Linked DNA regions of Callithrix jacchus. The main gene of each other region encodes a partner of the protein of the gene in region 2 in a complex. Links are inferred from orthologs where the notes say so. Each region holds a gene or a part of one and is shown on either strand. Other genes may lie near its edges.

Region 1 (3,646 bases), on a different chromosome or scaffold from region 2:
GAGTGTAAGTCGATTTGGAGCCCTCAAGTCTCATGAAAAGCATGTTGGACATGGCAGTCTAGGCTGGAGTATCTTTTATGGGACTTAGAGCAAGGAATCCAGTTTGGGAGTACCCTGCTGGGGTGACAGCACAATTTGTGCTGGGGGAAGGGGTGCCAGGAACAGCAGGTACAGGTTTAGCAACTCTTCTGACTCCTCTATTCTCAGGCCCCAGGGCCTCTAGAACAGTTTTGGGTCACCCTCAAGTGTCTCCTCTTCAGACTTCTAGTCTAACCCCAGGCCCGATGTTGGTGCTCTTAGCAAGAACTGTGGAGCCCAGACTACCATGAGAAGTTGGTGGCTATAGTGCCTGGCTGAAGGCTCGGTGCCCTTTCAATGGCCAATCCCAACCCTCTCCCTAATCATGGCTGCCTAGAGAGTACCTCTGCAGAGTGCCAGGCCCAGGACCCACAGGGCCCAGACAGCATCTTAGCCAGAACCTGTGGGCAGAGGAGAGGAAAGAGCTTTGAAGATGTCAGAAGGAAGAAAACCCCAGTGTCCTGCTCATAAGTTTACATCTCTGTCTCCCAGAAAAATCAGATACTGATTCCTCTTTCAATAAAATTTTATTTTAAATCCTTAGTGAATAACTAAGAGGAAAATATAAAGTGCTTGGCTTTAGAGTTGGGAGGTCAGGAAAGAGGGAAAGATCCCTGGGTTCACACCGTTTGAATTTCTCAGTCCCTTACACATGAAAGAAGGTGTGTATCTCAAAATCCAAAAAATAAAAAATTTAAAAAAAGAAAGGACAAAATATTAGCCTTGAGTTCTCCACCAGCCAGTGTGTGCGAGGATTTTAAGGACACAACTATCACAGACAACCACTGAGAATTATCACGAGGAGGACAGGTCAATCATGTGAAGAATGAGTCTATTTCAAAGGAGACAGGCAGAACAAAGAAGTGAGGTGGAAGATGGGCTCCCCAGGCTCTACACCAGGGACAGAATGGCTGCCTGCTGCTCTGGAGTCTCCTCCAGTAAGTGTCGGGCAAAAGCCTGCTCCATCTGTATTGGAAGAGATGGAGAAGAGCGTCTCAGTGAGTGCATCAGGGACAGACACCACCCCCAGGAGCTCCTTCCCCACTGGGAGACCCCCTTCACCTCCTGGACCACCACTGCCCCTACTCTCATTAGATAGGCTACTCTGCCCCTGCTCTGAGCTCACCTTCACTGTGATAAGATTCTGTGGAGTATGGCTGGGGCCACAGCTCTCCTCCCAGAAATTCAGTGTTACCTGGAACTTGGGTGGGGGGCCCAGGCCCTGGAAGTACCTGGCCAAGTCTGAAAGAGAAAGGGTCAAGGGTTGGAAGGAGAAAAACAAGAGAGAGGGCCACAGGTTGGGAGGCAATAGTGAGGAACCCATGATGGAGATAGTTAGGAGGGGGGGTCCACATGGAGCCCCAGGCCAGAGCAGGAGCTGCAAGGTCAGGAGAAGTGCTCGGAACTAAATGCTACTCACCCATGTGCAAACGGGAAAGGGTGCCCCTGCCTCAAATAAGTGTTAGAAGTAGCAGATCACTGCACAACCTGAAAAGCTCTCTCTGCTGAGAGAGTTTAAGAGTCCTCCCAGGCCGCAGCCCTGGCTGCTAACACAGATGTGCCCAGACTTTTGCTGCTTGCTCATACCCTCTCAGTGCTAGGGTACCCATGGCCCTGGGAACACCCACACTCTATACCCCCTGTACTCCTGGCCCCACTCTTAAGTCAGATTTAGAATTGAGTAGGAACTGGAACTGGATAGGAGAGGGGGGCAACCCTAGGGCATTCCTGGAGTATAGTAGAGATGATGCAGCCAGAGCCAGAGGTATGATGTGTGCCAGCTCTCCCAAATGTGTGTACATAGGACAAGGCCATGAGGCTCACTCTGTGCCAATTCTTCTGTGCACCTTCACATAATGACTGCACGCTTCAGTGTGATGGTGTTCCCCAAGATGTGACACTCTTGTGCTGAGCTCTACCTGAACCTCCTCTTCCACTGTCTTGGCTGGAGAAGAGCTGCCATATAGCTGCCAGGCTGGGCATATGGCCAAACACGATGTGCACCACACAAGTGCAGGAGTGCCATGCATAGGCTACATGGAAGATCTGCTGGCAAACAGGGTGGTGGCAGGACCCACCAAGTTGGGCCCGGGGGGTACTAAGATAGGAGCTCAGGTGCCCAGTGAGAGCATCCTCACCTCTGCAGAAGTAGGCAGTTCTGAAGAGCTCCACACACTCGTTGCTGGGCAGCAGATGTGGGCCTGGCCCAGGTGGAGCCTGGGGTGCATTCCAGGAGATGGGGATGGGGCAAAGGCGCTGCACGAAGAGGCCTCGGGGGTTGCTGGCCACCAGGATGCCCCTCTCAAGCTGACTCAGTAGGCGCTGCGTGGGCTCCAGTGGGCCAGGCTTGGGGAATAACACCTGCTCCATGCTGCTCTCAGAGCCTGAGGGCTCAGCCACGAGGCGGCAGTCCAGGCTTTGCACCTGGGCCTCGCCCACCACGCGCCCGTTGTAGATGAAGGTGAGCAGCAGTGAGTAGTCTGGGGATAGAACAGTCTAGCTGTACCTGGTGCTGGAGGAGCATGCAGGCTGGTGGTAGCCCCTCCCCAGGGGAACATCTCCACTCCCCTCCCCTCACTGGCCAGGGGGCTTCCCCTCAGGTTTTCCCATCACTCAGGCAAGTAGCTAGTACTACTGAGTGATTCACCATGAGGCCTCAGGGCTTAATGCCCAGGGTCCTGTCATTTACAAGAAGGTCCCTTGAGACTGGGGCTCTGTTTGGCCCAAAGAAATTAGTGTCTCAGTGTGGATTTCCAGGAGAGTGTATAGGGTGGTATTTTTGGGAAGCAAGCTTTTTAGAGTCTGGCCAGGTATGTGGAATCTCACCACCTAGAAACAAGTGCCTTGGGCTATGATAAGATGGTCACAGTTTCCTGTAAGCCCTGACTGACTAGATAATGCATGTACGATCAAAGGAGGAAGGCCTCAGGAACACAGGAGAAAGTTAGAAATGTCACGTACCTGGCTCTGGAGGAAGTAGAAACTCCAGGGACACCTGATCCCCTTGTAAGGGGGCCTCAGTTGTATCTGTACCTGGAAGGGAAGCAAAGGCACTGGTCATTCAGAGTGGGGCTGGGGAGTCTTGGGCCAGAGTGTGTGACATGGTGGATGACACAAGAGGCAAGCAGGTGGTACCTTCCTGTGGTTCAGGGCTGCTGCTGCTGCTGCTGCTTCCGATGTCTGAATGGACTGCTCCCCCACTGGCTCCCTCCTCTTCCTGCAGACACAGTGTTTTTTCGCTTTTTTTTTTGAGACGGAGTCTCACTCTGTCACCCAGGCTGCAGTGCAATAGCGCAATCTCGGCTCATGGCAACCTCCACATCCCAGGTTCAAGCTATTCTCCTGCCTCAGTCTCCCGAGTAGCTGTGATTACAGGCAGCTGTCACTATGACCAGCTAATTTTTGGATTTTTAGTAGAGACAAGGTTTCACCATGTTGGTCAAGGCTGGTTTTGAACTCCTGACCTCAGACGATGTGCCCACCTTGGCCTCTGAAGATGCTTTCATTGGCCCACCTCTCCCTCTAGTTACTGTCCTGCTCTCAGGCCTGCCCAATTCCCTCTCCATCG
Region 2 (3,713 bases):
GGATTACAGGCGTGAGTCACCACACCTGGCCTAATTTTCAAACACACTCTAGAGTGAATACCACAAGGATCACCATTCAACTTTAACATTGCTATTTCCACTATCTTATTTCATCTATCTGCCTAATTAATTTATTTTACATTTATGTGTTTATTTGTTGTTTATATTTGCTTATGCTAAAGCATTTAAAGATCAGTGTTGATATTAAGTATTTTTTACAGCATGATCTCTGCTGGCCCTGAAGCTTTTTTGTTTTTTTTCTGAGACGGAGTCTTGCTTTGTCACCCAGGCTGGAGTGCAGTGTCATGATCTCGGCTCGCTGCAAACTCCGCCTCCTGGGTTCAAGCAATTCTTCTGCTGGGCTTATAGGTGGCTTACAGTAAGTAGCTGGGCTTACAGGCGGCTGCCACCATGCCCCCCTAACTTTTGTATTTTTGGTAGAGATGGGGTTTCACCATGTTGTCCAGGCTGGTCTTGAACTTCTGACCTCAGGTGATCTGCCTACCTCGGCCTCCCAACGTGCTGGGATTACAGGTATGAGCTACCACACGCAGCCACTTGAAGCTTTTTTAGGAGCTAAATCTTTTTGGAGGTCAGGTAAGTATACCCTATAAACCACCTTCTATACAGGAAGGAGGAGTTCCATTCTAGAAAACATCTAAATGCTGTGCAATGGATTGCTCAATCCCTAAGAATATGACACTTTTAGGCTGGGCGTGGTGGCTCATGTCTATCATCCCAGCACTTTGGGAGGCTGAGGCGGGTGGATCATGAGGTCAAGGGATCGAGACCATCCTGGTCAACAAGGTGAAACCCCGTCTCTACTAAAAATGCAAAAATTAGCTGGGTGTGGTGGCGTTCGCCTGTAGTCCCAGCTACTTGGGAGGCTGAGGCAGGAGAATTGCTTGAACCCAGGAGGTGGACGTTGCGGTGAGCCAAGATTGCACCATTGCACTCCAGCCTGGGTAACAAAAGCAAAACTCCATCTCAAAAAAAAAAAAGAATATGACACTTTTATGACCTATGAATCTTGAATATGATTATGGGTTATCAACTTTGTGAGATCCTGATACTTTATGTAAATTTGTTTTTTTAGGCCAGGTGCCGTGGCTCACGCCTGTAATCCCAGCACTTTGAGAGGCCTAGGTGGGAGGATCACTTGAGGTCGGAAGTTCAAGACCAGTCTGGCCAACATGCCAACATGGTGAAACCCCATCTCTACTAAAAATACAAAAAAATTAGCAAGGCCTGGTGGTCGGCGCCTAATCCCAGCTACTCAAGAGGCTGAGGCAGGAGAATTGCTTGAACCCAGGAGACAGAGGTTGCAGTTAGTGGAGTTCATGCACGGTACTCCAGCCTGGGCAACAGAGCAAGACTTTGTCTCAGAAAAAAAAAAAAAAATGTTTTTTTTTTTCTTGCTTGTCACAAAGACAGGTTTGCCTGTCACCAAGCAGGCTGTGCCATGCATCTTTCTCCCCATCTTTCCCTGTTCGTTGACATCTGGTGTCTATTTAGGAAACTGAAACTTATACTTGTTGCAATCTGAGCCTAACAGAACAGAATTTATGCATGTTTGTGGTCTAAAAAGGTCACGTGATTTTATTACAAAGTAAAGAGAAATGCTTGGGGTAGGACAGTACTCTAACATAAATAACATCAGCTGCCTTTCTACCTCTGGAAGTAGAAACAAGGGAAAGGAGGGATTGTGCAGGGGCTATTTTCATTTTAAACCTTTTAGTAGTGCTTGATTTTTAAAACTATGTAACTGTATTGCTGTTATGATACAAAAAAATATAAGTTAAAAAAATGATTAGGTGGCCATGCGTGGTGGCTCATGCCTGTAATCCCAGCACTCTGGGAGGCCTACAAGACAGGAGGATAGCTTGAGCTTAGGAGTTTGAAATCAGCCTAGGCAACATAGTGAGCTTCCATCTCTTAAAAAAAATTTTTTTTTTAATGATGAGGTCTCAATTCTTGAGGATTTAAGTGTTTAGTATGAAACGCACAAGGAAGCAAAGATTCAAATATTAAAACAAAACAAAACAAAAAACCTAGTCTCCCCAAATGGATTGCAAACACTGAGGTTAAGGGCTGAGACAGTTTTTTCTCGTTATCTCTCACTCTCAGGCACATATTTTACACTCAAGAAGCTTTTCTGAAATGAACTGAATTTTGTGTGTGACCTTAGGTAATCGTTTTATCTTTCAGGAGCTTATACTTTTTTACGAAACAAATAAAGATGATAGATTCATCTATCTGTTTTTTTGTTTTGTTTTTGTGTTTCAGGTTAATCTATCTTTGGACATCGTTTATTTTGGTGAAGACAAAACATAATGCGGAGCAGAGGCAAAAACTTTGGTTCAGCTACCGAATCAACATAAGGCCAGATTCCGGGTCTCGGAAGCTTCAGGGGACTTTGGGGAGAGGGCCATTAGGGTTGGGGAGATAAGCTCGGCAGGAGAAGTTCAAAGACCGAGCCGGCGACAGCTCCTATTTCAACCTGGGGACAGAGGCTGCCCCCTCCAGGGCGTACGTAACCCCTGAGGCCAGTCGCCCTTCCCTGGGAGGAATTCTCACTCTCACCCCCACCCCTACCCCAGCACACACTCTCAGGGCCCGTACCTGATTAGGGGTGGCAGTCCCCGCGCCCTCCAGTGGCTCTGGTCGCGACTTCCCGTGCCTAGAGGGATCTCGGGTACTAGAGCCTCCCGCCCCGCCTACAAGTTCGGCCAACCCCCTCGGATCCGTCCCCTTGTAAGGTGGCCCTGAAGTCCGGAGCTGCCCCTTTCCCAGCCACCACCCCGACACTGCCATCAGTCAAGTCCTTACCAGACTGCTAGCTCATTGGCGCCGCCGCAATTCCGCCCCATCCGTGGGGCGGGACAAGCTGAGCCGAAACCACACCTCCAGTTCCAGCGATTGGTGGAGAAGCTCAAATAGGCGCTGCCTACGAGGGGAGGAGTCCAATTAGTGGACTAGCCCAAGACTGAAACAGCTGATTTTCGAGAACCCGCGCGTGGGCCAAGGAACCGAAACTAGCTTGAGGACTCTGGAGACGCCAAGGGCCCCATGGGAAGGGGTGGGACCGGAATTTCGACGTCTTGGGATAGGAAGAGGAGGGCTGAGGTAATGAAAACAATATTTTAAAAATAGTCTTTTATTTTTTGAGATATGGTCTCGCTCTGTCACCAGGGCTGGAGTGCAGTGGCAAGATCTTGGCTCACTGCAGCCTCGACCTTCCGGGCTCAGGTGATTCTCCCGGCTCAGCATCCCAGGTAGCTGGGACTACAAGCGTGCATCACTCCGCCAGGAAAATTTTTTATATTTATTGTAGAGATGTGGTTTCGCCATGTTGCCCAGGCTGGTTCTGAACTGCTGGGCTCAAATGATCCTCCCGCCTCGGTCTCTCAGTGCTGGAATTACAGACGTGAGCCACTGCACCTGGCTAATAGCTATTTATTGAGAGTACTGTGATAAGCCCCCCCTTTTTTTTTTTTTTTGAGACGGACTTTCGCTCTTGTTACCCAGGCTGGAGTGCAATGGCAGGATCTCGGCTCACCGCAACCTCCACCTCCTGGGTTCAAGCAATTCTCCTGCCTCAGTCTCCCGAGTAGCTGGGACTACAGGTGAGCACCTCCATGCCCAGCTAATTTTTGTATTTTTAGTAGAGACGGGGTTTCACCTTGTTGACCAGGATGGTCTCGATCTCTTGA

Evidence for each region.
Region 1: the proteins of STAT2 (region 2) and IRF9 are in contact, whole or in part, in a crystal structure (PDB 5OEN), measured with the Mus musculus proteins. The link is inferred for Callithrix jacchus from reciprocal best matches to the Homo sapiens genes STAT2 and IRF9. Residues at the interface, in NP_064347.1 of Mus musculus: Arg163, Gln164, Lys166, Asp167, Glu168, Asp170, Val171, Phe174, Arg175, Thr177, Val178, Phe179, Leu181, Lys182, Asp188, His190, Gln191, Gln193, Gln194, Leu197, Thr201, Lys204, Met208; in NP_032420.1 of Mus musculus: Leu206, Leu208, Tyr212, Leu233, Asp234, Arg236, Ser244, Glu245, Ser246, Ser247, Met248, Asp270, Arg271, Leu274, Val275, Ala276, Asn278, Ser279, Arg280, Phe283, Val284, Gln285, Leu287, Cys313, Glu315.

What each region holds. Positions count from the first base shown.
Region 1 is NC_133509.1:58,471,875-58,475,520, reverse strand, and holds the end of IRF9 (interferon regulatory factor 9), read right to left. Parts: intron 3,357-3,646; coding exon of another isoform or gene 3,296-3,356; coding exon 3,214-3,295; intron 3,112-3,213; coding exon 3,040-3,111; intron 2,559-3,039; coding exon 2,217-2,558; intron 1,321-2,216; coding exon 1,205-1,320; intron 1,045-1,204; coding exon 970-1,044; 3' UTR 587-969; downstream 1-586.
Region 2 is NC_133510.1:63,281,325-63,285,037, reverse strand, and holds the start of STAT2 (signal transducer and activator of transcription 2), read right to left. Parts: upstream 2,858-3,713; 5' UTR 2,830-2,857; exon of another isoform or gene 2,623-2,829; intron 1-2,622. UniProt on the Homo sapiens protein: Signal transducer and activator of transcription that mediates signaling by type I interferons (IFN-alpha and IFN-beta).